Linked DNA regions of Lonchura striata. The protein of the gene in region 1 interacts with the protein of each later gene in a biochemical or structural test. Links are inferred from orthologs where the notes say so. Each region holds a gene or a part of one and is shown on either strand. Other genes may lie near its edges.

Region 1 (14,688 bases):
ATTATATATACTGGATATATAATAGATATATCCAGGTATATCCAGTATATACTGGATGTACTGGAATAAGAAAGTGTTCACCACTAGCCAGATGGGACCACAATAAAACTCTGCCTTAACTATATGGCCTTCAAAGTATTTCAGTTTAAAAGCTGCTTTCACTATATGGTAACCAGGAATAAACTGACAGCAGTCAGTTAAACTACATTTTAGGAAATTCCTTTAAGGACATACATAGAAACTTATTTCCTCTAAAAAGAAAACTTAAATATTTCTTTACTTGCTATAAAACTGCAACTAATGCATAATATAGGTCTTAGCTATACCAATGATTATTCTTGCTCTTTTACCATTCTGCTTAATCCCAAGTTGTAAAAGTTCACCTGTTTTGAACTAGGTGATAAGTATACTACAATGAACAACAACCTTGCCTAGCCTTCTGTATGGAATTTGCAGTAAGTATAGACTGCTTTGTAATCCAGTTCAGGAAACAGAAATTTCAAATTTGTGAAGAAAAGACAATGAAAGAACAATTTCAAACAAACACCTTCCAACTGTGTTTGTGATGCAAACCAAAAGTTTAAGTTATTTCTGGCAGCACACCAGTCCAGCAAAGTAGCATTTTTATATCACCCTCTGGAAAGCAATCAGTTTCCACTTCATTCTCCCACACTTCACCTGGTGTCAGCACCTTTCTTTACCATAATTAAAAAAAAAAAACAAAAAAGAAAAAACACACAACACCAACTCACACACTTCGCAAAGAAGCAGACCAGTTTTGGACTAAACTGAAATTGTTTTTACTATTTTTCTTTTACATAAAACAGCTTTGCCTGGAGTATTTTCAATATGTGAAACTAAGAGCAGATTTTTTTTTTTTGCCTGAGCATTGTGTTTTCTTTTAATGAGCCTTGTCTAAAGATTACTCACAGAGACAAGAGAGTCGTACTTCAATTCCTCATATTAACTTGTGCATTGATTCCCAAAACATGTGCTTGTTACAAGCAGTTCAGCTGGAAAGACTAATCCGAAGTGGATTGACACATCATTTCACATCCCACTGAACAGTCCTGTTTTCTCCAGCAGGCTGTCACCAGCATTTGGGCAGGAGACCCAGAAAGATGTCACATCACCTCCCCAGCAGCATAAGCCTCCCATAAGTGCCTACAGAGCCATAACATTAGGAGCAGCACACACCACCACATAACACCACCAGAGGCTGGTAAGCACAACATTCACATTCTCTTCTGGAACACTTCTAACATTAGTCATAGAACAGCTACAGTGAAGGAGACTTGTCATACATGATAGCAGGGGAGAGGTTTGGCAATTAGGAGAATAATTTATTAGGAGTAATTGAAGTAAAATTCAACATTTTCCTCTCTAACCAGTATTGCTACAAAGCATTTTCTAATCAGACTCAATTACTTAGATACACGTTTTTGTATCTCATGCTGGAAAATTTGAAAAGCAAAATAAGGTGGTGCAGCTGTTTCTAAAATGGGAAAAAGTTCCTGTATGTTATTCAACCAAAAAAAGCTCCATACAAACTATGTTCTTCTCCAGGTTTGCGAGAACCCATAGCAAGTTAAGGGAGGAGAGCACAGCAGAGACACAACAGTGGCTCCTCACCTGGCAGGTTTAAATACAGGCAGGTAAAAAGCAGCTTCACTCCTACACTAATCCCAAGGGAGATTCTAACAGCCCAAGAACACAAAATAGTTGTATTGAATTCCCAGGGACGGCAAGGTAGGGTGGGGAAGCAAAGTAGGCACCAACCAACATCACAGCTGACAGTTCAGTAAGGCTGATGTGACTTCAGTCTTTGCTATATTTAATTTGAGCTACAACTAGAAGTAAGGTTTTTTTTAATCTAACACAAAAAGCACTTATCTTTTGCTCTCTCTCACCACTACAGCACTCTCCAAACCTAAACATGCCTGGATGTTTAAAGAGCTGGCACGTGGATTTCTCCACTGCTGAGTGGAAGCAGGCATGAACTGTCAAAAGCAATTCTAGATGAAAGGTCAAAGCAAAGAAGGGAATAATATCTGTTTCACAAAATACATTTGCTCTCTCTAGTAATGAAAGCAAATGACTCTATCCAGTGGTTCAATAACCTACTTCTATAATAGTTCCACATGAGCTGCCCTGGCATGGCAAGAGGCAGCCCTCATTACAAAGTATTTCCAATCACATGCCTAAGGCAGCACCAGAGACGTCACTTAGGGCAAAGCATCCACTGAAACAGGTGCTGGGAGAAAAATGTTTCTGCTTTTTATGGAAGTGGAGAAAAAAGGCTTTTAGGCTAGAGTGGCCCGAAGCAGGATGCCAACTAACTCGCTCTTGTTTTCTGACCTCCAACAGCAAACATGAAACCCTGAACCAGAGTCAAGAAAAAACTTGTACATGCCCTTCCAGAGAGCATTCCTGAATTATACACACTCCCAGACTGTTTCTAATTTTTAGAGGCTGACAACATAATTGCCAAGATGGTCATAAATAGCTTTGTCTAAAAAAAAACGGATTCTCATTCCTGCACTCTCCATTCATGGGGCAGATTTTTAAAGATTTATCGTTTTACTATCAAAATAATTCACTAAACTATCCAGAGGCCTTGTGGGCAAAACAGCTGTCAGATGCCGTATCAGGTGGGCAGAAACAGCCTGTCCAAAAATTACTTGCAACTGTCACAAATAAAGTGCAAGCTAAAGACCACACTTCTATCAGACAGATGACTCAGTCCATCTGTTAGTGTACTTAAGAACAAGGAAAGTAACCTGAATTCTTGTATCCACCTGAAAAAAAAACCCTGCCCACAACTCCAATTTTTCTCTTGAGATACAAGCAATTTTAGGAACTGTACTGCTTGCAGTTATGCATATCCAGTCTAATTTAACTGCCTGCTTGCACTTCCAACATTTTGTCAAATATTTCTTAACTAAATTAAGCTTCCTATTTCAAATACACCATTCGGGCAAGTATTAAAACTAAAGCCACAATTCCGAAGAGTTACCTTACGTATCCAAGAATAACTTAATGTCACCATCAAATTGATGGTCTTGCTGCTGTGCTATTTCACTACCTTAAATAACTGCAGTTATTGCAGCAGACTGAACTGTAGTATTGTCACTAATAATGCTCTTGTATACCCACTTTGGTGGAAACCCCAGGAAATGCGTGTGGGTTCCTTCAAGCATTCCTAGTCCTAATGAAGGTACATGTTTTGTTACTTGTGCAGTGGGCTTTCACTCAGTAAACAGTGAGTATTGTATTCATTTTCTTAGCACAACACTTAAAATATAATGAAGGCTTACCAGCCCAGGCATAAAATATGCTGACTTTTAAATAATAACGTGAAGTGCATTCTGTAGCAACATATTTGAGCAGAAAAGCTGCTGATTGTAAGTAAACAGAAATTTCAGTGTGGTTTAGAGACCACAAATTTAGCTACCTTTTTAGCTTGAAAACACAAGCAAGAATACAACATGACTTTTCAGAAAAGGCAAAATTTATAGTAATTTAGCTGTTTGCCCTATCTAAGCATGGAATGAAATTCACCTATATACGATATCCATAGTAGCCCATCATAAACACAATTTATTATACTGGGCTCTGGAAACATTTGAATTGAAAATTTCTTAAAAATACTGCTTCTTTCCCAGTTCTTGGGAACTTGGGTAATGCAACCCGACTAAGCAGTCTGCTTTCTGACCAGCACACTAATGAAAAACAATTCTTTCCCACACAAAGAAATGAATGTAGTAATCCCAAGAGAAGGCTGTACAGTTTGATTTTTAAAAAGTCGGTATCTTGTAAAGCTCATTTATTTTTATTGGAGTTAAGACTCAAAATGAGCCTGATATAGGAAAAAAAAATGAAGGTAATTCCGTTAATCTTCACTGTAAAACCCCAGCTCTAGCAGCAGAGTTGTGTTTACCAGCTTCTGTAATACAGACTTCAACATATGCTACAATAAAAGTCTGTTCACACACGCACTTCTTGTACAAATACGATGGGAAGTCATGCTGTTACTAGAACGGGGGCACCAAACTTTGCTGTTACCTGAATCTTCCCCCCACCACCTTCCAGTCAGCTGGTAAATGGAAGCTTCACTGAAGATGCCCATTCCTGGATACCTATTGTATTATAAGTGCTTTCAGGAAACAGGATTTGGTTAGCTGACAAAAGTGCTGCCCCTGAGTACAAAGAGAGCAACAGGTGTTCATGGGAATCAGCTGTTTACCTAGGGCAGGAGACACAGATACAGCCCTATTCAAGCTAGCTCCTGAACCAAGTAACTTCATACTTAGGCTAGACCATTTAACTGGGATATTTAATATTCAGAGTTTCTCTGCAACCTAAAACCCCTAACAGATGTTATTCAAATAGCATATCATTTCAATTTGAATACAAAGCAGACTTCTGCAAGAATTAATTCCTGTGTAGTGTCAGTGTTTGTGTCTTACAGAACTGCTGATTGTTTTAACATTCAAAGATGCTCTCACAAGGATGTTTAGTATTATCTGACAGAAGGAAAACCAGTTTGCTCTTGGGTAACTGACCAGCTAATCACCCAGACAAGACACAAGATCTTAACACAAAATCATCAGAATTAGTTCAGGCTCATGATGGCCGAAGAACAGCCAAACCACAGGGGAGAAAGTGAGAGTGCTTCTCCCCCCCCCCAACCCTGCCCCAGTTCATCTATGTATTTTTTTTTATTCTTTGGAGCAACAACTGCATACTTACCTGCCCAACAGCAATGACAGAATGCAGTTTACTCATTCCACAAGACCATCAATATTGTGCCAAAAGTATATTTTTAGTATGAACTGCTAAGATTTAACAGTGCGTGCAAACATTGGAGCTGTATATGAAATACTGGTTGCTTGTCACTCCTCACCCATCAGACCTCACCTTGACCAGCAAATGCGCATTAAAAGTCATTACCTGAACAAAATACAGCATGAAGATATTGTTTAAACATGTTTCAGAAATATACCATCAACCATAGTCTAAACAAGTCCAACGAGAGAGTATGCAGTGAAAGCTTGCCATTGTATTGGAGTCGGACCAATTAAACAAAACTGAGTGAATGTAATAGTGCCTCTATAGAGAGAAAATACTTCTTTAAGCACATCATTTTTTTAGCCTGTGTAGTTTAATTGGTACAGCTTGTTTCTTTTTTTCCAGAGGGTTGGAACCAAGGGTTCTGGAAGTCAGCTTCCTTTGAAACACCCCATGACCACTCACCAGAGCAACCCTCCAAATCACAACTGCCTCTCCCCCTTGCCAGCTTGATGTTCTATAGGCACGAGTGGGTAGAAAGCTTCAAGGCCAGTAAAATATTCATTTACCTACATTTACTCACTGCTGCAAGTCAACTATTCAAACACCTAAATAAGCAACCTAAGGGTAGGTTCAACCTAGACACTTTCCTGTTGTGCTGGTTAAGAGAAATACTTGTGCTCCCTCCAAGCTGGCACTGGTCCTAGCACACATACAGTTACACCAGAGAACAGTGAGCAGTCTTGCTGCTATAGCTCACTTCACTCAGCATCACCCCCACAATTCAAGCACTTTTTGCCAGCACGAAACCCAAACTTACATGGGGCTTCCCAAGGTTATTTATGCCAAGACTTGCTCGATTAGCAGCATTCATTGTGCTAAAGGCTGTGTCAAGATAATTAAAAAGAACACCTCTGCTTAGGTATAGGTTTTCCAAGCTGTAACTTTTCACTTGCAGGGTATCTGACTTCTACATGAGCAACATGAATAACTGAAAATAAATTATCACAAGACAAAACAAAGCTTAAAATAACGTAAGACATAAATACCTACAGTTAACAAAGAAAACCAGAGGGAAATACAAGAACACAATTCTAAACAAAACAACAGGGAGATTGTTCCCATGCTTCCCGCTGCAACGCTATTGAAGGTGCACTGAAAGAGGGAATCCTCACAGTACAAAAAAATTTATTGGGATTTTCCTGCAATTGACAAGGAAATCTAATGGCTCATCAGTTTTATGCAGCAGAGGAATTTGCCGACTTTGCTCACGCAGATCTTGCCGGATCTCTACACCAAAGGACCTCACGACTTACAGTCGTGTCTTTAAGACAAAGAAGGTTCATATCCAACTGCAAGGCAGACAATAACTTCCAGGCGAAAAGAAAAAAAAAAAAAGAAAAAAAAAAAGAAAAAAAAAAAAAAAAAAAAGGAAGGCATGAGTAACTCGTTTCCCCAGCTGTCTGAGCGAGGGGCAGGCCTGCAGGGAGCACGGCGTCCCCGGGCAGCCAGACCAGCGCTCGGCCACCAAGCCGCATTTCTCACCGGGTCCTGCACCAATCCAGAAAGGAGATTATGGAAACAGAACAGGCGCTAAAGGAGAGCCGGGGGGAGGATGGCGGGGGGAAGGGGGGACGGGCCGGGGAGGCAGAAAATCGCCTTCAAATGAATGAGCCGGCGGGGAGCGGGAGTTCCCGGCGGGAAGGCGGCGGGCACCCACCTCCCTCCCTGCCGCCCCCAGCCGCGGCCACCTCTGTGTTTACATCCCAAACCTCCGAACGCGGCACTTCCCCGGCTGCCGAGAGGGGGATCCCCCCTCCCTCCTTCCCCCCGGCGCCTCTTTATTGATTACCGAGGGAAAAGCCCAGCTGCTGCTGCAATGCAACACGCGCCGGGTAAGGCGGAGGAAAAGGGGGGAAAAAAATCACCACCGGCAGAGAAAGAAAGGAGACGGGCGCCTGGGGCTCACGCCGTGCCCGGCCCGGGGGAGGCGCCGGAGCGGAGCCGCCCCCCGCCCCGGACTCGGGCCCCGCCGCCGCCCCCCGACCGCAACTTCGCCGCCGCCGCGGGGGGACGGGGACGGCGGGCCGCCCTTCCCCCGCCGCCACTAACAATGGGCCCTTCCCCCACCGCGGGGCTCCCCTCGGCCCGGCCCCCTCCCCCGTCGCCGGCCGATCCCCCCGGCCCCCATGCCCGTTCCCGTTCCCGGCCGTGCGCCGGCCGAGCCGGGGGGCGCGGAGCATCGCCCCCCAACCCGCGCCCGCCGCCCGCTCCGGAGCCGGCCGCTCACCTCATGGTGCTGCCCGCGGTCGGGGAGCCGCTCCCGCTGCCTCGCTCGCTGCGCTGTCTCCCCCGCCCCGCTCCGCTGCTCGCCGCGTCCGCGCAGAGCGAGACCCCCGGAGAGCGAGACCCCCGCCCGGCAGCGCCGCCCGCCCGCCCGCTCCGCCGCTCCCTCCGCCGCCGGGCCGGGCCAGACCACCGCGGGGAGCCGGGGGTGGGAGGGGACGAGAGAGGTGGGGGAAAGGGGCGGGGAGGAGCGAACCACCGCGCGGGAGGGCGGGGGGAACGGAGAAGGAGGAGAACGGGCGGACGGGGGCGACCGGAGACACCGGCGGGGCCGCGGGAGCGGCGGCGGCCAGGCTGTGGGAGCGGCGGGCGGGGGGGAAGAGGGAGGGAGGAAGGGGCGGGCGGCGGAGGAGGAGGCCGCGCCCACCGCCGCGCCGTGCCCGGGCGGCTCGCTGGGGCTCGGCGGCCCCGGCGCGGGGTGGCGGGGGTGGAGGGACGGGGCGGCCGCAGGTGTGGTGGCGGCTCCTCGGGAGAGCCCCCGCCCGAGGCACGGTCCTCCCCGGCGGCCTCGGGAGTCGCCCCGGGGCGGAGGGGCGGGATGGGCTCCCGGAGAGCCGCGTCCCGGCCGGCGGAGCCCGGCGTGTGAACGCCTCCCCCCGGCCGCTGACCCTGCCCCACGCTGCCCGCACCGGGCTCTGTCCGGCCGGGAGCCCTGGCCCGGTGCCCGGGACACGGAGCCCCGAGCCGCCCTGCCCGAGTTCCGCAGGTACCGGCCGGCGACAGCGCCGCGGGCGGCGGCCCCTCGGTGTCCCGGGGAGCCAGTGGCCTGAGCCTTTTTCAGGAATACAGGAATGTTATTTCTGCATCTTTCGGTAGCCCCGCGCCTGTCCTAAATGCAGATTTGCGTTCCGCTTTCGGTGCCCGCAGCGGACTGTACAAGTTTCTTTAACCCAGCTCGTGTTCGGCTCTTTTCTGTCAGCTAGCGAGTGAATACTCGTTCTCTCCCGTCTTAGTTAAAAGACGCGATGAGCAAATGTCTTTGCAATTCCCAATGTTGTTAAGCCATCTTGGTGCTTTTGCACCTCCAATTTCATTTCTCCCTAATGAATACCAATGGTTTCTAGGGTCTAGTAGTAAAAATATACAGGAGAAACAAAGGTGTAAACATCTTCTTTATAAGTGTCTAGACTTCTAGATATATTTAAAAAAAATTAAAAATATATATGTATTTCTGATGTAGGTTCCACACATGTAAGGGGATATTACCATGAATCTCAGCTATTTGACACCACCTCTTCCTTGATCAGTGAGACACTCTGTCAATTAATGGTGTCAGTAGCACAGTAAGAGATGAACTAATCAATGAAAAAAAATGGCCAGTTGTTAGTAGAAAACACTAACTTGGGAACAAGGACAGGCTCTGAAACTGAAGCTAATGAAGAATAGTTTGGTAAGAAAACATGTTTTTACTGGCATAGGGATGATGTCAATGAAAATGTTGCAGTAAAGGTGAATCACAAAATGCAGATGAGTAATCAGAAGACAAGCGACATCGTGATCTTAAAAAGTGTGTACCTTTGTGAACAATGTAAAGACAGTCTGAAAAAGGGACACAATTGGATCTGGTAAATAAAATTACCGTAATTGCTTTCAGCAAATGCTGAGGACTCTAGTGACTGGCAGTGGACCTCAGTTCTTAAGGCATAATGAATTTTCTAAGATCTGGGCTTCCTATTACCAGAACATCCTCCAAATAAAAGGTTTGGAAAGAAAGCCATTCTGGCAGTGAAAAAGCTCTTGAAGGCAGCCAAGCAGAACTGTTAAAGTCTGTATCTATATAGATGCATCTAAGATGTATGTCTAATGGGCTTCAGCAGGTATATCAGTAGAAGGAATGGCAGAGACAGGAGAAGAAGGATTTTGTTCAAAGATACCAGTTATTCTATAACAGAAAAAATCAGAATCATAATGTGACTGTCCTGATGCAACTGTCTGGTCTTATTAGTCAAACCTAAAAGAATTTTGACTGTGACAGGTATATAAAAACCACTAAAAGTATGCCTGGGCTCCAGGTCTGCCTGAGAGGGAATGAAAATAGCCAGAAGCTTTTACTCCTGCAAAATAACTATTATCGCTATTTGTGTTATATTACAAGGTGTTCTTAGCCAAATCAGATATGGTCATAGCTGGATTTCTCAAGACCTACTCAGTGGTACAATAGAATTTGTAAAAATGCCAGAAGAATCATTTTGCATGCTGGCATCGCAGATGTCACCAAGTGCAAAGTCATTTTGGATGCTAGCTTAGTCAAAAATCCCATTGAATTAATCTGTAACAAAATACTAAATCTGCAGTAACTCATATTAGCAGCTACATGAGAAGGAGAGGAGCCAAAATTATATAGGGCAGAAATCAAATTATAAACGTTGAATGCCTCTTTCTTTCCAGGTCAATTTAGTGAGGTTATTGTTGAGAAATTAAAGTAGTCTAGCAGAAGAAGGAGTTAGTGTCGTGTACCTGTTTATGGTACTGAATTATGCTTTGAGAAATCTGCCTGCTCTCGTAGCAGACCACATGCTCCCAAGCCGTAATAGCTCAGTGTGTCCTGTGTCCAAGTCACTTGGCATGACTCTGCTGTCACCTTTCTCACTGACAGGATCCTCCAGCAGCACAGCACGGGTGTCAATGCCCTCTGCATCCTCTCCCACTGCTCTCCCTTCTTCTGGCAATGACAAAACCAAAGTGGCAGAAAGCCTTCTTAGCTGGTGGTGTCACACTAATAACCTGAGGCCCGTGACAACCTACAAGGCAGAGCCACATAATGGTTCTTCTAATCAGTGTCCAAGGATTGTGTTCATGCCCTTCTTCCTCTGGATCCAAACAGCTCAGAATACCCCAAAACCACTTTGCATTCTTCCCTCCTGCATTTTCTGCTGCTCAGCTGCAAGTGGGGACTGGAATTCAGGTGCTTCCAAAAGCTAAGCCAGCTCTGGCTGAGCAGTACGGTGTGCTTGCTCTCCCAACAACCTGAGTAGTGAAGGCTTTCTGAATGCTACAGAAATGGCTCACCCATGCATAAACCAGAAGAGGATGTGTTCCTGTTTCATATCACCCAAATGCAAGAGTGGGGACAGCTTGGTAGGCTACTCCCAAGCAAACCCAGCAGATCCCATCGCATCTCACCAGTCTGGATAACCCTTAATACAGGGTCATGAGGAAGATGCATGATGTTCTAATGTTCTGGAGACATTCAGGGAATCCAAAAGCTTCAAAAAGCAGAGTAATTATTTCTCTCACAGTGTGATTTCCCCTGTCTTCTCTGAAACAATCTCCCACTTTCCAGTCTTTGTTTCTTTAGAAAGCAAAAAGTAGCTGAGATCTTCATATGTCTTACAAAGGTCAGTGTCCTAGGACAGCAGCTCATATGCAAGATTACTTTGGCCTTCTTCAATGACTGTAAATAACATAATGCAGGATATAGTCAAAGAAGTTTCTGGAACAGGGGAAAGTATTGTTTTTTCTGGTGGTTTTGGCTTTTTGAGGGTTATTGTTCTTTTCACTTAATACATCCAAAGTTTGGTTTTTGAATACATAAGAAGAGATACTTTATTTCACTTGTTTGGATTATTTTCTATAGAACTAGTATAGAAAGAAAACACAATTTGTTATATAATAGAAGTGAGAGAGTTGCAACAACAAAGCATGAGCTTTCTCTCCAGAGATAGTGAAGGGCTTTCCAAAAATGGTGGACTAAAAGAAAATAGCTCTGACAGTGTGCTTCTGGTAGCATTGAAGTTTATCAAAACAGAAGTGAATTAAGTAATTGAACATATTATTCTCATCAGTGATTATGTTAATCTAATTTATAAATATATCTTTTGCTTTGGATCACAGAGCTGATGCCTGAACCAATTCTCTGAGGTCATGGTTAGTTGAACAAAATGAAGATCCAGCTATTATATAGATAGTTAAAGTATACTAGCTAGCATAACTCTTCCTGTCCTCTTCTTGCTTTCCCTCAACCCCAAGTCATTTTCAATTTCAGGTTACCATGAGTCAGCCAACTGCTGAACTGTTGCATAGCAGACCATGAAAGGAAATGCTTTCAACTAAAAACTCCTTAGTTTTATTTTATTTATGAAATTACACAGTTTTTCCTAACTGCCTTCTGGGGAAGGGGGAGTAAACTATCTCTAAAATTCTCTAGGAATGCTAAAATAAACAAATATTGGCATGACTCAGCAGATAACAACAACAATAGCCAAGAAGGTCTTTTCTTAAAGGAATAATATTTTTATTTTGTTGTAAAAAAGGCAAAACAACATCACCAGCAAAGGAAGCAAATATTTTGCTATCAAACACAGTCCTTTGACTCCCAAAGGTGAAACTTGGTCTTCCTACCAGCATACTCCGCTCCTCGTTGTACAAGTAAACAACTCCTAGATCTTCCATCAGGCACCTCCAAAGAGGAATGAAAACAGCAGCTGTAGCTTTCTGCCATGCTTCTTTCCCCCAAGGTTCCTAAAAGTGCCCCCCACACTGTCAAACAGCATCAGCACATCGAACCACAAGCCTGTGTAGATGTGAGTGGTATGTGTCTTTCAGGCTGTTCCTAGTAGACTCAAATACTTAAGTGAAAATTCCTTGTATAAAAAGGGATTGTTTTTCCCCCCCTAGGTTTACCATGAAAAGAATTTGTATTGTGCTGCAGGCTATTCAGTGAGGGTTGAAGTCTCTTTTTGTGTAAGTACTGTCTATCAAGTGTAAATCGATGTGTTGTGTACTTAGTGTAAAAATGCTTTTCTGACACTAAGATAAATTATGATTGTTGTTTTGACCCTAGTCTTTCATTTGCCTCCACTCAGCTGCTGACTTTTGTGGTTTCTGAGATGAAATGTTGATTTAGGACTAGTGGAATTGACCAATCTCATCTCTTCCTTTCCATCTAATTTTATACTCTTATCCCCTAATAGTCTTGTTTGCCACCACTTCTTATGCATTACCAATCAAATGTATTCATTATGTCCTTCTCTCTCTCTTGCTAATGTCTTAGAACAAATTGTACTCTGCTGCTTTATCTTTTGCTGGAGCAAAGTCAAGGCACAAAGCTGGCCCAGGATTTAGTTAAGATTGTTTTGAGCTATCTTTTCTTACAACTCTAGATGAGTTATTCTCTGAGGTACTCGATCACAGCCAAAGATTCGGAGTGTTATTAATAAGTTATTATTAATAATTGTTAGGTACTTACAGTGCTCTTGTAGCATAAAAAAGGGCAGGCTTCTTGCCCAGAAGAGCTATGTATGGGATGTCTACACTGCAGTCCCCCATGTCTATGGTAGCTTTAAATACTCAGGTATTACTTATCTTACTTACTCTACCTTAAAGTGCACTGAGCTCTGCAAGCAGCTTCTACAACCCCAGCTGAGGTTTGAATTCACCAGAGCACATTTACTGCACTGTACCCCTTTATCCTGTGTGAGATTAGGCAGGCAGATGCCAAAGGAAATGGTGTAGCCTTTCAGTTGGAAGCCTGCACTGAATTTCACCAACTTAGCATTACTTTGCACTACCGTGGGGTTATTTTACTCATACTCCATTGCAGATACATTCTGCATTTTGTCCATCTTTCTCCTTTCTCCTCCCTTCTATTTTAGTTGAATGACAACACACTTACTATTGCTGGTAAGTTTTCATTCACTACAAAGTTGGAATAACTTACAATGGAAATACTGTCCCAGTTATAGATGAATGACAACACTTTTACTATAGCTGGTTAGTTTCCATTGACTGCAAAGTCAGAATAACTTGCAGTAAAAATAATGTCCTGATTATAGATGAATTACAACACTTTTGCTATTGTGAGTGAGCACCTGTGGATTGCAAAGCGGTTAGTAACCTACAATACAAATATTGTTCCAAGAAAGGTTGCAGCTTAGTCAGATGATAACCTTTTTAGTCCTTTTCCAGCACTGCAGATTCTGCTTTCTGGCAATAGCTATAGCCAGTTCCATAATTTGGATTTCAAATTTAGTAAGTGATAAATCATGCATGAGACCCAAAATATACAAAGCAGCAGTTGCAAAAATATTCTTCCTCAGTATTTTAGAAAGAACATCACAAAATTTTTTTGCCAAAAGAATTAATGTTTCTATAAAAAGACATATGAGCTCTTAAGAGATTACAATGCTAACACATGCCATTATTATTACTATAACTAGCTAGAAATTATTTCAGAATGTAGATATACTCTATAAAATAATCAATGAGAAGGAATTCCTTGCAACTGGCCCTAAGTCACGCTTCCAGGACTAGGGATCTGCATTTTAACCATAATCACTCTCTCCGCTGAGTATTTATTTATTCTCCACTTCCTCTGTTAGTTCAGCTCCCATGTGTCACAAATACAACCACATAAACAGTGATGGATTTTCTCCAGCTCCTTCCACCCTCAGACAGCACAGAACCACCTCGTACCCTATTTCCTGTGTCACAGGTTTATTTCTAAACAACTTATCCCGAGTGTTTGACACTGACTGGTGTGCTGCAGTCAGGGATTCAGCTACTATGGTCAACTGACTGCTTTCCAAGAATACCACTCATTAAAATGTACTGCCGGAGACTCTACTTTCAAATCCTTGCTGAATGCTGGGCTTTCTTACTGGTTAATAAGAAAGGATTCATTTTCTGGGGCGTGTAAATAAGTAGACGTAGGAAAAGACCAATAAAAATTCCCCACCAGGCTTTTTTCAGAGTTTTCAAAAAACAACCTTCTACTATCTGGAATACATTTTACTGTCAGATCTTCTTTGTAAAACTTGCCTTGTTTCTCTTAGGCTTACTGTGTCTGGATAAATTCTATCTTTCCTGGGTTTTTTCCTCTTCTAAATAGCTGTAAATTTTATCATAGACTTCTTCAGACATCAACTATCCCAAAAATATCAACTGCTCTCTGATACTAACCAAAAATTTTCATTGTTCCCATAGCTCAGTTTCTCAAAAGCTTCCACTTACATTTTTGTGGTTTTGTTCTAAGCTTCCTCCCATGTCTCTAGTCCTGGAAACAAAGCTAATATCTTTATTCAAGGTACAAACAACTGCTCTTTGCTTCTGAACATGGGAAGAGAAATCATATTTCAAGAGACTGTTTCCATTAGAGTTGTTGTCCGTCTTAAAGATTCTGTGGATTTATAATAAAGGACAGGTAGCACCAGCTAGAGAGAGAATGATTTGTAACCCCAAGAGATGCTCAGACAATCATTTTATTTAAATGTCATGACTGGTTGAACATTTCTAACCTTACAATTGTGAATAGAGGTTGCTTTGTGCAGGGAAATGACTCTTCTAACAATGATCCATTCATTCTGCTGTGACTACACCAGTGGATGAAGGGGAAATGCCAGCTTTGCAATGTTTAAAATTATTATTATTAAAACAACTGTACTAGGGTATTGGCATATCTGCAAAGAAATAAAACCTTTCCACTGCTTACCTGTTCATGGTTTAGAATCATCCTAAACTGGTAACAGCCCTAAGTATTAGCATCTGATAGGGTTGGTATATTCATAAAATCATCAGTAAAAGCCTCCAAGAGCTCCTGGACAAAATCAAACA
Region 2 (15,344 bases), on another chromosome or scaffold:
TGTGAATTTTTTGGCTATTGTGAGAAAACAAGAGAAAATAGAAAAAGTCCTGAGTCCAAGTCTATATCCCATGTGGGAAGTGTTTGTAGTTTTTTAGTGCTTTCCTCAGCCCACCTGCTCTCTGCTATGCTCAGACACCACATATCTAAACAATCTTCAATCTCATCATAGTTCTTCTTTACCCTTTCTTCCTCTTCTCCCCTTCCACACCTATACATGCCCCTTCTATCTGGCCCTTGCAAGTACCTCCACTATTTCTTCTCCCAGAATTCATCATACTGTTACATTCCAGATGCCAGGGAATACAATCCCTCTATGCCATTATCCATCACAGTGATACTGTATGAAAAACAAAAAAAAGTGCAGAGAAAATCCCTTGGCCCTTGCAGTGCACAGTGGAACACTATCAGCACAGCCCAGTTCCTTAGTGGATAAATCCTAACTCTTACAAATTCTATTGAAAGTATGCAAATATATTAGTTCTAAAATTTAGGGATTCACCAAATGTTGTCTGTTTTTTCAGGAAGAGCAGGAGGTAGGGCCCTGAAACTACCTTCTGCTAACTACCTTCCTCATTCAAAACAGAGAGCTCCTGGGGGTGCAACCTCTTGGCTGAAATACTTGTAATGATGCTACAGAAAGCATTTCTTCTTTTTCCTGTCTCACACATTGCTTGGTGGGGAAAAATATATTCTCAAATATAAATATGTGCTACCTGGGCTAATTTAAGACTGAGAAATGTGCAAGTAAGTAAAAGAAAAGCATTACAAGGAGAAACAACTGCAAATTTCACACACAGTATAGTGAGGGCTCTATAATACATCTTCTATGTAAAACAACATCTTGATCCCTTTTTCAGTGAGAACAGCATGAAGTTTTTTTTCTTAGCATATAAGAAAAGATATCTAGTTGTGAGACATCTTTCAATTGATGTAAAAACCTAGATAGGCTCTACCTTACATATTGAAGAAATTTTGAGAAGTACAAACATGTCAAAATACAGAATGAAGAGTCAGAAATTTAAAGGGAAGTGATGGCACACATAATTATCCATCTCACATTCAGAATTATTTTAAAGAATGTTAGAAATATTTTTAATACTAAGTATGTATTTATTAAATGACACTGTTTAAAAAGTCCCCAACCCTTTAGGAAACACACCGGCCAGAAAGATACTATGGAATTATTATGGTTATGACCAAATAAATTAAAACATTCATAGCTAATGGTGACAGCAAATAGTTGAGCACAGCAGGAAGCTGTCATCAGTATTTTATATATTCACTTCTAATTGTGCCTATGCATCATTAAGTTTGTTCGTATTTGCATTCAGTGTCCTCTGAACCAAGTCATTTTCCAGTGGCATATATTCACTTTCACTGCAGGTAACTTTCATTACTGGTAATTAAAGGACAATTTTTACCGCATTATGCTACAGGAAACAAGAAGTGGTTGCTGAGATTGATTAATATCTAAACTAAGTTTGAGATGTAATCAGTCTCAGAGGCACAAGAGCTTATTCCTGTTATGTAATGAAAAGTAACAGGAACCCCCCTTTTGTTTTGAACATCCAAAGCTTACCCTTTAAATTCTGTTGGAATGCACTAGGTGGCCTGATTTATTTTTAAATGTTCCCAACACAGAATAGCTTCAGTCTATGTGTAATGACTTTTTACCCTCATTTCTGCACAGTCCATGTTTGAGCTCTGACTGGGACAATGCCAAGGAAGATGTCAATGTTATCTTAGCGTGGAAGTGATTTTCTAGTATACAACCACATCTGCAGGTTGCTGTGCATCCAGTGAAATCCCTTTTGCCTTCAGTGCTATTGAAGATGGTCCTTTTCAAACACTGCTCAACCCTACAGACTCAGCATTGCTTTCAGCTGAAGCTTTACTGTTTCACTGGGAGCTGGAACAGACCCAAGAACCGTAATGTGTTTTCACTTGCTGAAAAAAACCTATTATGTTGTCCCTTATTTTGCCATCCAAATACTGTGCTTGGTAATACTATCACTGCAAAATTGCTGTCAAATATTTATTTTTATTGGGGAAATAGTGCTCCTTCTGCAGTAGCATGATGTTATCATTTAATTATTTTTTCTTTTCTGCTTTGTGATGGAAAACTGCAATTCAATGAAGTATATATTTAAATGCAAAAGAGGCACACCAATTAATCAGTACAGAATACGAATGCTTTTAATCTGCATCAAAAAAACAGTGGTGCTTAGAAAAACACCAATCTTTTAAATAGAAAGAATATAAAAGTAATTCCTATCCATGCTCAGATTTCCTCAAATGTAATGAAAAATTGCAATTGTGCAATTAGATTATCTTCACAATAATATATTCTTTTAAAGCTTTGCATTATGCTAAGCACATCTTGATAAGCCTTTAATTTCTTTTTTTTTTAAGAATAAAAATGGACTTAAATAATTTTAATTGTTAAGAAAAAATCCACAGAGATAGCTCAAATGTTGGCTCTGAAACACAGATGTTTACTGTTATCTGGTTTTTGTTCATCCACTGTACCAAACACAGAAACTATGTACTGAGGATAAGAAATAAATTAGTCTGGGTATATATAGGGTAGGTTAGGTATAGCCATGAGTGTGAAGCAATCGATTCTGAGATGTGGATTAGACTAGGCTACAGCATAGTACAATCAGTTCAATTATCTGGGATCATAGGAGACTGGGAACTGATGGAGAAGAGAAAAACACAGGTAGTGGAGCTGCTCCAAGGACCACCAGAGGCACTTCAGTGAAAATGTACTTCAGCAGGAAATGTAGTCCAAAAGAGCTTATTAACTCTGTGTTCAGCACTAGGCAGTGCTCTCAAGGCATTGTTTGGTAGTGTTGCATGAATTTGCAAAGCCATCTTAGGCTCTGCTTCTCAAGGAAGCAGTTACAGTTCTACAAACCATGTCTGAGCCACTGAGTTTCCCAGGAACATTCTTGGTTGTGCTATTCTCATTGCCTTTATCAAACAGTGCAAAACAGAACAGAAATGGTGCTAAGGGTGTTTTCAGACTTCAAAACATTTTCCAAGACCTTAAGCAATGTTTTTCTTCCTGTTAGGGATGCTCACTCCAAAGAGCTGAGCAAGCATGACAATGCTGATATGGGCCATCTACCCTTTTAGTGCCTGCTTTCAATTTAGCGTCACAGGAGATTTGTCTTTGGGTCTGTGATATTCCCTTTCACTGCTAATTATGCAAATATTACTTTTTCCTGGACAAGGTGTCTATTTGCTTTTGACCAGAAACTCCACGTAGGGTGAAAAACCTTTTCCAGGAAAATTTTTATTTTGTATATACATATCAAAGAAATTCTTCCATTTTGAAGGCTTGCAATCCTCCAGCAAACAGCTATTAACTCAGGAAATCCCAACCTACCCTCTAATGAGTATGCCAAAATTGCATGGGTCTATTCAAAAAGCTGACTTTCACTCCATGCCTACCCCTTGCAATAAGATGGCTCTTTTCATATTTAAATTACCTTTCCAAAGCCATAAAATAAAAGAATGAAAAAAAATGCTAATAAAAAGGATTACTGCCAGAAGCCCACCTCCTGCTTTAAGTGGCTGCTCTAAAGTCAGCCCTTCCTCAAAATGTTCTTACAACAAAACAGTTTAGCTCCATTTGTTAGTGGTGTAAGAAGCAAGTCATCTTAGCATTTGTCACACAACAGCCATCTTCTCAGGTAGGTCTAGGAAAAGGAAATGGGCTCTCTGAGGTGGCTGCACCACCAGGGTCTAGATCCCCCATTTTTCCTATGTTTTTAGGGCAGTGGATGCCTTGACAGTATTTTGAGGTGTTAAGAAGATAAGCCTACCTTGTGATGGGCAGTTGGAAGTGACAGCAGCAGAAGGGACCTAGATTGGGAGCTGGGAATGGAAAATGGGAGAGGAATTCCTTGATTCAGTAAAAGTGGAAAGGAAACATCAGGAGACAACCGGATGGCCAAAGGCTGAGCTGAGAAATATGCAAGAATGAAAAGCAAAATTAAAGAGGCCAAAAGAACAAGGGATCCAGTGGAACACAGGAGGAGAACAACTGAGAGGACAGATGGAGAAAAGAGTAGTGGAGGTGACGGAAAAGGAAGATTGCTGACACCAGAGTACTGCTGAGGAATGAAGATAAGCATGCAGGAGGGATGAAGAGGAGAGAGTTTTATGAAAAATGAGGTTGAGACAGAAGGCAAATCCTGCAAGTGAAAATATATTAGAGGAGAAAGGTCATGTCAAAATACAGTGAAACTATTTATTTTTTGCCACTCTTATCTTGTGCATTCTTGAAGCTGCAATTTTCAGTCTTATTACTTCTGTGCTCCCCAGCAGCTCAGGCTGCCTAGCAATGCCTGGCTGTGCTGGCTGTGCTGCACAGAGCTCGTGGCTGCCTAGCAACTGCCAGGGGTCTGTGTTGGGGTCTCTGACCAGCTCAGGGATGCAGTCCTGCCCCAAACACCCCTGCTTCCCTGGCAAGCCAGGAAGCAGCATCTGCAGCTGTTAACAGCTGTGATGAAAACCTTAAAAATATTAATTGGGAAAAAGGGCACACGGAGGTGACCACAAAAGCGCAGAGTGCATGACAAATTGTCTCCAAAATGCAGAAACAACCCCATTCATCTCTGCAATACTCAGACAACCTGTGATGATAACTGAAATATCAATATGGGTAATTATTCTGGTTCTTAAATAAGGCTCTGTGCTAAAGCAAAGGAAAACAACCCAATGCAGCTAAGCACCTTCTTGGGCAGTTATTAAACAGGCGAAGGAAATATCAAAACAGCAAATTTTGGTACCAAGAAAAGAAAACATTGAAGAATATTAAGTATTCATAAAAGCTTGTCCTAGTACAGCCATACTTGTGTAACTATCATTGCAATCAACAAAAATTTTATTACAAGAAAATGAGACTTGGCATTTGGCAGCAGAGCTGATGTGGCTGATCTGAACAGCCCTGTGTCTTCTGTGCCTCCAGCTGCCCTCTCAGATCCCTCATCTCCCTTTCCATTGCACTGTCAGAAGTGCTTGTGCAGCTAAACCACCGAATCAGGAATTAATCCAGCAGAGAAATGGTCCAACAAAAAATAAAGGGTTATTTTCCAATCAACACTACTGAAGCAAGTACTGTTCGTTCCCAAGGGAAAAACAAAGACACATGCCAATCTATGGCCAAGGAAAGGGAACAGACAGTTACAGAGCTACACAAATTACAGTGCAGGAGAAGTTGCTGTGATACTGCTACTTTGCTGCTGTTCTAAACAGCACTTAGAATATAGTCACATTTTTCTTTCCAAGCCAAAAATGGCCTATTGTCCCAGAAAGATAGGATTGCCCCTGGAGATCTCATGCCCCACTGAGGAGGAGAAAATCTCAACGTAAAGTTGAGACATTGAGAGATATATAAGCACATTTTACTCTAGATAGGATCTCATTTGGGTGATTGTTTAGGTGGAGATTGATGGACATAATTACATGTTTTCCTCTGCCAGTCCAGCAGCCCAAGCCAGGAAAATTTTAATTCCCAGCTCTTTTGTACACTTGAAGTATCTTGTAAGTTAGGTAATTTATTTTTCTTATCAGCAGTTTATACCTGGTGCAATGAGAAAATGTCACAGAGTAAAAAAGCCCAAACTCAACAAAATAAACCAAAATGAAAAGAACAACAAAATAAAATATTTTCTGAAAAGAAACCCCAGTGAATGCAGTTTAGATGCACATTACTATCTTCAGCAAATGTCAGCTCAAGCCCAAACTTTATTGATTGTGGCTCAGCACTGGTTCTGCTAGATTTGCACTCTTTTAGGTGCTTTAGAATCACTTGGTGCACACCATGCAGACTCATGGAACCAGCTTCAATCTACTGCACCTGAGTCAATGCACCAACCAAGAGCCTCAGACATGAGGAACACCCTGCAAAGACACTCAAGGGATCCTGCAGAGAGTTATTTAGAAAGAAGGAGGACTAGCATGGGACAAAAGCTAATAAGGCCTGCTGATCTTATCAGTTGGGCATATCCACACCAAAATTCCCAGTGCATCTTACACAGTGTGGCCCTCACAGCAGCACTGCCATGCTTGTATGGCACCCAGATGACAGGTCCTGCAGGAGTGGACCTGGTTTGGTTGTTTATCTACCCAAAGTCTAACCCGCAGGCATGGGGACAATGCCTGGCCGCGCCATGGCAGCTGCAGAAGAGCCTCATAGCTGTCACAAGGTGGCAACATTCGATGTGCTCCTCCGAGGTCTTCTTGAGTTGTGAGAACATTTTGCATTTTTGCTCTGCTGGAGCCGCTGCTCTGCTGTGCCAGGTGGATGCATCCCCGGAGAGCCCGCAGTGCCTGCTCAGTGCCTGTCCTGCCAGGACAAGCTTGCTCACGGGAGTGAAGCACAATACATTTAGCAAAACACGTGCCACTCATTTTGCTCATACTGAAAAAAGTTGATGGGCAAGGCCCCACACATCTGTCATTTCTTTTAGAGGGGCAGCTGTAACATTTTATGAAGAGCCAACAACAATTGTGCTACATTTGAGGATGTTAACAGCTTCCATGAAGTCAGTCTGTGATCTGTAGGCAATTAAAGATTCATTCAAGCCAATGGGTGTTAAGCAATTTGCAGCTAAAGTGAATAGAGAAATTGAATTAGTCTTTATTAATATATACAATAAGTCAATACTGGAAACAAGGAGAAGCCAGTGCCCAAGAGTAGTGATGCCTTGTGAAGGTTCACCTAGAACAGAGACTAACTAGATGGAGTTAAAGAATAAAGTAGGTATTTATTAGAAGACCTCAATGGATACATCTAGGGCAGTACAAGAGCCCAGCAACAGCTACACCCAAGGTGAACCCAAAATGGTCACAAAATGACAGGTCACAGGGTCTCAAACTTTTTTAAGTTCTGGTCCATTAGCATATTGAAGTTAATTGTCCAGTTACAGCTTTAGCTTATGAAGTCCCATCCTTCTTGTTTTTCTCTCTTCAGTCCACATTATTTATGCTCTTGGGCCTGAAGTTTGGATCATTTGTCCTTGGTCCCCAGCTAGAGAAGAAATTGTTTTGTCAACCTACACTGTGAAGAGAGCTTACTATCCCCTAATATGAAGCTCAGAAATGCACACTAAAGCAGCACATAATCTGAAAAATATAAAAGCTAAAACCTGAGGCATCAGGGGTTCTGGTCACACTTGCCCCAGGACACATTTAAAGCTTGCCAATATCTCAATACAAACAAACTGAATTAGCTTACATTAAAAGGAATCCAAAATAAAGTGTTTTATTGGACATACATGCTGCCCAAAAGAGAGCTATTAAAACCCCTTTGGAAACAATTTTGCTAAGCTGCCAAGTAAATTAACCATCAGAAGAGAGCAATGTAGATGCATTTCTATCCCACAGCAAGTGCTGCAAGTGTACCAGCTCCTTCTGCTCCTCAAAGAGCTCTCAAATACTTTTCTTGGTACCTGCCTGTCTGTTCCCAGACAGGAGTGTATTTTGTAACTCCAGTTGCAAAGAGTTTCCCAGTCCTGATGGTCCTTTCCAGGGTCCTTACCTTTCATCCTTGCTTCTACAGTTCTGGGCTGAGATACTGGACTTTGCTGACCACAGAGGTGAAGGGAGAGCTATTTTTTACCCTTGATTTAGAGAGAGCAATAAATACACCAAAGTATCCTGACCAGAACAGTGATTCACACAGGAGACAGACTACAGAGAACATGTAGAATGTCACATGATTTTGCAGAAATGAGGCAGTCTCCTCTTACTATAATGTGAGCTTGAGACTGCATTTTTCTGAAACATGCTGACTTTTTACCACTGTGTGCATTTCTCTAGGACAACCATTAAAAAACACAAGGACTAACTGTGTTTGTGTTTGTGACTGCGGACACACAACACATGGCAAGAACAGTGGAACCTTGGAAATGGCTTTTTCTGGGCCTGTTACTCATTGCAAGAGCAGGCATGGACATCTCAGCAGAGCAGTCACCTGCTGCTACTGGCTTCTCTCCTGGCACGATTGCAGAATCAGGATTTGGCTTACAAAAAAGACATGCAAAAAAGATTGTACTAAGTTATCACTGGACTTTTGTCTTCCATACTTTTGCTGACAGCCAGATGAGGCCTTGAACAATGATTAACAACTGAGGTAAATGAGTGGCAGGAATACTGTATTTATCTCAGCCAAATATTTAAGCTCTTCTTAAGAACCTAAATTCAGGAAATCACTGTTAGTAGTTATACTGGGCAGGCCCTGACTAAAATCTGCGTAACTTGGATTCAGTATTTCTCCCTCCCCCTCAGGGGGTAACTCCCTTGAAAGGACTAGTTGCCCCAAACCATGATCATTCTAACATCTTACCAGTCTTCTGTTATCTTTGGAATGGCCTGTCCAGGGAGGTAGTGGAGTCACTGTCCCTGGAGGTATTTAAGGAAACCCTGGACATTACATTTCGGGCTGTGGTCTAGTTGACATGGTGGTGCTCAGTCATGGGTTGGACTCGATGAACTCAGAGACCTTTTCCAACCTAATTGATTCTGCGATCTTCCATATTTTTAGCCTGCCAGATGGCCAGATAACCAGAGCAGTGCTTCCCTCCCAGACCCTTTCAGCCTCTCCTGCAGAACCGCTGCCTCTGGGCAGCACTGTGGGGCTGGGGCTTTTCTGAGCGAGGCGGGGGATGTACATCACTGTCTCCCCTCGTCTCTGGGGGAGACAGGACAGGAGCCGGGGGAGCAGGGCAGCCCAGCAGCCGGGGGAGCAGGCCAGCCCAGCAGCCAGCCAGGCCGGAGCACTCCGGGCCCCACCATGTCCCTCCGGCCCGCGGGCGGTGCCCACGAGCGGCGGCCGCCCCGCGCATGCGACCGGCCCTGCCTACAACTCCCGGCTGCCTTCGCACAGCGAGGGCGGGCTTTTCCTCTTTTTTCTTGGTTTGGTTTTTTTTTTTTTTTTTCTTTTTTTTTCCCCTCCCCTCGGAGGGGGAAGGATGGGTGGGGAAAGCGAGCGTTCACGAAAGCGAGGCGAGGAGGAATCCCACAATACCAGGCGGGTTGCGAGCCCGGCGCTGTCGCTGTCTCTTTAATGCAAGAGGAAGCGATGCGGAGGGGTGGAAAATGGCAGAGTTGCAGATGTTGCTAGAGGAGGAAATCCCTTCTGGCAAGCGGGCTCTGCTCGAGAGCTACCAGAACCTCACTCGAGTCGCCGACTACTGCGAAAACAACTACATCCAGGTAAGGGCGGCGGGGCAGCGCACCGGGGGCCGGCGGCGGGGCTCGGCTCTCCGTGCGGCGGCGGGGCCGGAGCCGCCCGAGGGGCAGCGGCGCCTGGCTGCCCTCGCCGCGGCTCCCGCCCCGCGGCCGGTCCCTCGGCTTTGCCTTTTCTTTCAACTTTCCCAGCTGAACGGCCAGGCTTCCCTTCCCCCGCTCCAGAGGGGAAGGGAGGGGGTTATTATGTCAGTCCGGCTCCGAGGGTGTGTCTTTTTTTTTTTTTTTCCTTTTTTTTTCCTTCCCCCCCTGTATTTATTTATCATGAGTCACATCCCGGAGACCTCCCAGGGGTGGGGGTGACCGAGGCGCGAGGGCCCCCGAGCCCTTCCGTGCGGCCGGCTCCGACCCGGTATCCCGGGTTTCCCCCCGGCTTCCCGGCGGCGGGGCTCCCTGCGGGGCCCGCGGACGGGCCTCGGGGCGGCGGCGGTGGCCGGGGCGGGTGCGCCGCACGTGGGGCGCGGGTGCCGGGCGGCCCCGCGCCGCGCTCCGCGGGGAGCGGAGGGCCCCGCGCGGGTGACATCACGGGCTCGGGGGTCCGCGCCGGCTCCTCCTGGGCGTGCGGGTCCCGGCGGGGCCGAGGCGGGCGCGGTGCTGCGGGGCCGCAGCGCTGCCGTGAGCGGCGTGCGGGGGCAGGCGGCTGCCCGTGGGCTGGCAGCGCCGTGCGGGCGTGAGGCGGTGTTTCAAAATGGCAATCTGTGCCTCTCGCAGCCCGCCCGGCTCTAGCACCTACAACAGGGATTGCAGACCGAGTCTCTCGTGCGGGAAGAGGCTCCTTTGGTTCCAGCGTTTCTCCACCGGCGGTGGGTTTTTTTTTTCCATCCCATAGATTGCCAATGCTTCTTGGACTTCTTTTAAGTCTGATTTTTCTGAAGCTACTTTAAGCACAATTTCCTATTATTATTTTTTTCAGGATTTACATCACGTGACTCTAAGTCTCAGTCTTTAGTCATACTGATCTGGATGCAGAACCATCCAGAGATGCTGAAACTCAGCTTTTTTTTTCTGTAAAAAATTTGAAGGGGAAAGGCAAATAAACTTTATTAACTAGACAGCTTGTAGAGTGAACTTGTTGAATGTAATACTAGATTACCTGTGATAAGTATTTAATATAGGTTACCAACATCTTTGGTATCCATTATTGCTGGTAAGCTGTCTTACTGTTTTTAGTTACGGAGCAGCAAATATGGAAGCACATCTTTAATAATACAAAGTGATTTTTTAATGAGATCTTTTAATTAAAACTGCTCTAACAAGCCATATTTTCAAGTTTTTTTTTTTTTTGTTTGGGTTTGTGTTTTTTGGTTTTTTTTTTTTTTTGGTATATGAGGTAGTATGAGTTAATGTCTATTTATGCTTCCGAGTTGTTTGCTCCACCCAGAGAAAGCTGCTGATATAAATGCTTCTAAGAGGCGAGGTTCATTTGGTTTTACTCATGGGAAATATGACAAATACATGAGTATGGTAATTGCAGCACAAGTTTTGACGTGTCTCTTGCTCCTGACTTTTCCCTATGTCAGAAAGGTGCAGAGAATCTTCAGCTACATCGTTTTCTTCACAGTCATAAAATTTGTCTTTTCTTACTTTCATCAAGCAAACCAAATAAACACAACACTTGAGCAAATTCCCATCCAGTCATTTGGGGTGGCTTTTCCTTTTCCTCTTTTTTTCTTTTTTTAATTTTTTTTTTTTTAATTTGGTAGCTCATTTTCACCTCAGGTATCAAGGTCAGCTAGATGTGGGATTGATGGGGTCTCTTTTATCTTTGTACAGCTGTGTACAAAGATAAAAGAAGGAAGGAAGCCGGAATTCTAAAAGTCTAACGCAGTCTTGTACAGTAGCTTTGGAAAATGTATATACCCCACTTGTATTTTACATGTATTGTACATTTGCTTAGTAAAAATGTATTGATAAAATTATGTATTTTTTTGTGTTTGATGGAGGTGGGTTTTTTAATCAGCACTTGCTGCAAAACCATCTGCTGTCCAGTTGGACTACTGAACAGATTATACTGCCAGTGCATGTGGTGGATACTGCTGGATTAGGCAGTATGACACAGGGCACTGGGTTATGAGATTTGGGTGTAGGAGTATGGTGGGATGGGAAGGGAGAAAAGGAAAGGAAGAGGCTTAACAAACATATAATACAAAATCTATGTGTTTGTTTAATGTGATTGAGCATTTTATAAAAAAGACAGACCAGAATAAAGAACCTGGCCATGAAGTGAATGTTGAAATACTTCACTAGTAGCTCCATTTCTTATCTGGTTGTATGTAGCTGGTTCAGTTCAGCCACTTTGAATTTGGAGTGGTTTATTTTTTTCTGTGGAAAAAGTGAAGTGCTTCATAGTGGTAAACATTACTGTGTGCTGTTACCCACTCTGAGTTGTGCCACTGAGGTGAAACAGGTTTGTCAGACTGTTCTGAGTGCTGGCACTAACAATTTATTGTGATTGAAATAGGACAATGAATTATGTTCTCTGTGTTATGGTTTATATTCTTTGCTGACTTAAGCAGGAAAGTAATTTCTTGCCACTGATATTGCTATATTCAAGCTATATATATGTATTTATTTGAAAATACAGAAATTTTGTTTTGTCTTTCTTAAGCTGAGAATAATTCTGGTAAAATTTCAGCCGTGCTGATTTCTTAAGGAAAACTTGTATTCAATGTCTCTTGAGATTCCTTAGGGTGGAAAAAAAAAAAAAAAAAAGAGCGACAAATGGGGGAAACACTCACCTGTCTGGAACTTACCTCCCTGATGGTGAATGTAGCTGTGTGGAGAGCAAGTATCCTTTTACTGGAGCATTTAGGAAAGATGACAGCATTTGGGAATCTCAAGTTGAAAATTGCTGTGCTCAGAAAAGCAGGAAGCAGTTTCTTGCTGAGGCACACTGTGACTATATCAGAATGCTGTCTGGTAAAGCAGTTTGCCCTCCAGATCATGTGTATTCTAGTTATCTAGGAAGTTTATTTGTTAGAAAGAGGAAAGAATTCAGGAGAAGCAGAGCAAATAAGCTTCTAAGGAAGACCTGCAGTGCTAAAAAGAAAATACAGTATAGTGGCAGTCTTAAGGGGGATGGGAGAAAAAGGGAGACAGAAAAAATAAAACCAAATATAGAAATAGTAACTGATGAACATTGTGATGTTTTGGTGGTGGTTTTGGCTTTGAATAGAAGGAAAAGGGCATTATAAGTACGTTAGTGTGTTTAATCTCTGACAGTATTTAAAATTTGTGATATTTCTGGCTGGAAGCTTCAATAACAAGCAGGTAGAAATTGAAATTCCTGTTTTAGGTCGGAGGCTTAAACTCCAAAGAGTTTTAAGAGCAGGTTTTGAACCTTAAATTTTTAAGGCATATTTTTGCCTTCTGGAATATTTTTATATATATATAGATCTATTAATTTAGAAAACTATTTTCAAAATAGAAGTTTTCATAGCTGGTGTCTTCCCCAAATCCTTTTGCCTTCAGGTATGTTCTGGACTAGCTCTTTTGGTGTGCTTGTAACCAAAAGGCTATCTGAAAACCTGTAGTACACAGCTGATGATGCTAGTGAGGAGTTTCATCAGTGTCCTAGACAGTATTAACTTGATCAGTACTACTTAATACAGAAATAACTAGGAGTTGAAGCATTTGCAGTTCTAGTTATGATTCTTCAGCTGAAAAATATGAACTTCCATAGAGAGCCACTAGTCATTTTTCTAGCTGTATTGAGTTATTTTGATGTTTTAAGGAACTTATTTACAGTAACTAGCTTGTGAAGCATTAGAATGACACAGGAAATCAGCTTGTGCAGTGTTACTGCACTGATGACTTCCTTTTGAAGAATTTCAGTTGACTGGTGTATCCCAGAGAGGCCTCTCTGTGCTACAAAACACTACTTACAACTCTCCTGTCTAAATCAAGTGTTCCTTATAACCTTGTTTATGCATATGCAGATATAAGTAGTTTTTGTCAGTCTCAAGCTTCTAGACCACTTGTGAAGATCCATTTTTAATTTTTGTTTTTAAGCTCAAATATAATTTTAAAATGACTATGAGAATCTCTAAACAAACAGCTTGCACTCCTTGTATAAATTCTCATCTTGATAGTCTCAAGTGGGTAGATTTAGCAGCTTTAGAAAAATAAATTGAGAGACCTTTTAAGGAAGTAAATGCTGTGTTGCCTAAATGTGTGTTTTTCTGTCATGTTACTTCCTTCTGTAGCTTCTGACTGGTATGTGGAAACTGAACGGTGAATTAAACAAGCTATTTTGGGTAAAACAGACAAAAGCACGGACAGATTTCGGTTTTAACTGCTATTGCAAAAAAATTAAAGTATCTTTCCAGTTGGTGGAAAAGTGAATGTGTGGCATTAAGCAGAAGTGTTGCATACAGAAAGTTTCATAAATATTTGTGTTATCTTCCAAGATGCATAGAGGAGCTATTTTTACTTGATAAGTTGGATGTTCTACACTTCTCTACTGTAGATATTTAATTTCCAACACTAATGAACCTTTTTTTGTGGATTTTCTTTAAACATTGGTAGCTGGTCAGACACTTGATTTCATTGCCTGGCACATGGAAAGTGGCTTAACTTAGTTCAGTACAAAGAAGTTCACTCAGAATGTCTAATTCAGGAAATGAGCTGCTCTAAAAGGATAAACTTCTTAAATTGTCACTAATACAAATCCTTTATGTGCTGTTAGAACTTGTATGCTTTTATGTTCCTAGGTTAATTAGTTTGTATTAAAAGTAAATATAGTAATTTTTTTCTTTTGCGAGTTTTATTGCTAGATTTTGAACATATAACAAAAAAGCAATTAAGTTCACTTTCTGTAACACCAGATATAGTACAAAATTATAGAACAATGAGATAAAATACAAATGTGTAATCTATTATGCTTTGTAGGTTTAAATAATATTATTTAAAAAAAGGTGTTGCATTATACTTTGAAATAATGTTCTTTTTAAGATTGTTTAAGCAGATGTTTGCCAGCAGTGTAAAAGGCACTGGCTATTTTGTGTGTGGTTTGAGGGTTTTTTTAAGAATAATAATATAGGTCCATGCTGGTGGGTTAGGATTATAGCTCTTCTGTGCCCTGTGTAGTTCTTCTATGCCTATGCAAGTGTCTTTGTGTTTTGGAAAATAAAGCTTTAACTTATAGACAGCAATAAGACTGTAGCCCAACTTCACTGAATCAGCAAGTGATTCCACGGAATTTAAAGAAAATGAAACCTAGGGTGTTGTATGTCTAATTTGTGTCCAGAGGGGGTAGATGATAAGAGATGAGCTTTTCCAAATTTGAAATGTTTCAATGAATTTTTGTATATTTGCCTTAAGAAGCCAGCAAGATGTTGTCTCCTATTCCTGCTCCATTCTTCATAAGTGCTACCTTAATCAGGGGCAGTAAAGTGGATTGGGATAAGCTTTTACAGGTGCATATTGTTTCTTCCACAAGGGAAGTGCTCTCCACCCCCTTCTGTTTGTGCATTGTTGGAAGGAAGAAGCTTGCAGGATGTCTGGGGTCAGTGTGTGCTGAGTGTGATCCTTGCTCCCCGTGCTGCTCTTGCTGTGCACAGTCCTCTGGAATTGTTGGAAAGAAGAAAGAAGTATGATTAAATGGGGCAACAATCTAATACTTCCCCATGGTTCTCTGGGAGGTTGTTGCAGTAAGTAGTGCTCCCGGTAGAGAGAAAATAGATGTTGGGAAAGTCTCATAAAGTGGAGGATGAAGGTAAGAGTACAGGAGCAGGCTAAATATGAGTAGGAAGTGTTGTACTTCTGAGGGCAAAGTTCCTGTTGGTATCTAATCTAAGTTTAACAGAAAAAAAAAAACCTGAACTCTGAAACAAAATAACTGATGCAACTTCCTTGATGCAAAGTATATTTGTCTAGCATTTTGAAGTGTCTTCATTTTATAAAAGCGTAAGTGGAGGCATGAAATTTGTAACTTGCTCATGGAAGGTCATATAGGGACATATTGTCAGATTTGGGAACAGAACCTGATTGTGTGGATTTCCAGTGCTGTTCCCCCTGCCACCCCACCCCTTTCCAGACTGCCTCTGTTAAACTGCAACACAGCCAAAAGTGGGTATG

The links.
Region 2: the proteins of ENAH (region 1) and ABI1 form a complex in vitro, tested with the Homo sapiens proteins (2 studies listed by BioGRID). The link is inferred for Lonchura striata from reciprocal best matches to the Homo sapiens genes ENAH and ABI1.

What each region holds. Positions count from the first base shown.
Region 1 is NC_134605.1:17,390,043-17,404,730, forward strand, and holds the start of ENAH (protein enabled homolog), read right to left. Parts: upstream 7,252-14,688; 5' UTR 7,087-7,251; coding exon 7,082-7,086; intron 1-7,081. UniProt on the Homo sapiens protein: Ena/VASP proteins are actin-associated proteins involved in a range of processes dependent on cytoskeleton remodeling and cell polarity such as axon guidance and lamellipodial and filopodial dynamics in migrating cells.
Region 2 is NC_134603.1:140,614,164-140,629,507, reverse strand, and holds the start of ABI1 (abl interactor 1), read left to right. Parts: upstream 1-9,000; 5' UTR 9,001-9,116; coding exon 9,117-9,233; intron 9,234-15,344. UniProt on the Homo sapiens protein: May act in negative regulation of cell growth and transformation by interacting with nonreceptor tyrosine kinases ABL1 and/or ABL2. May play a role in regulation of EGF-induced Erk pathway activation. Involved in cytoskeletal reorganization and EGFR signaling.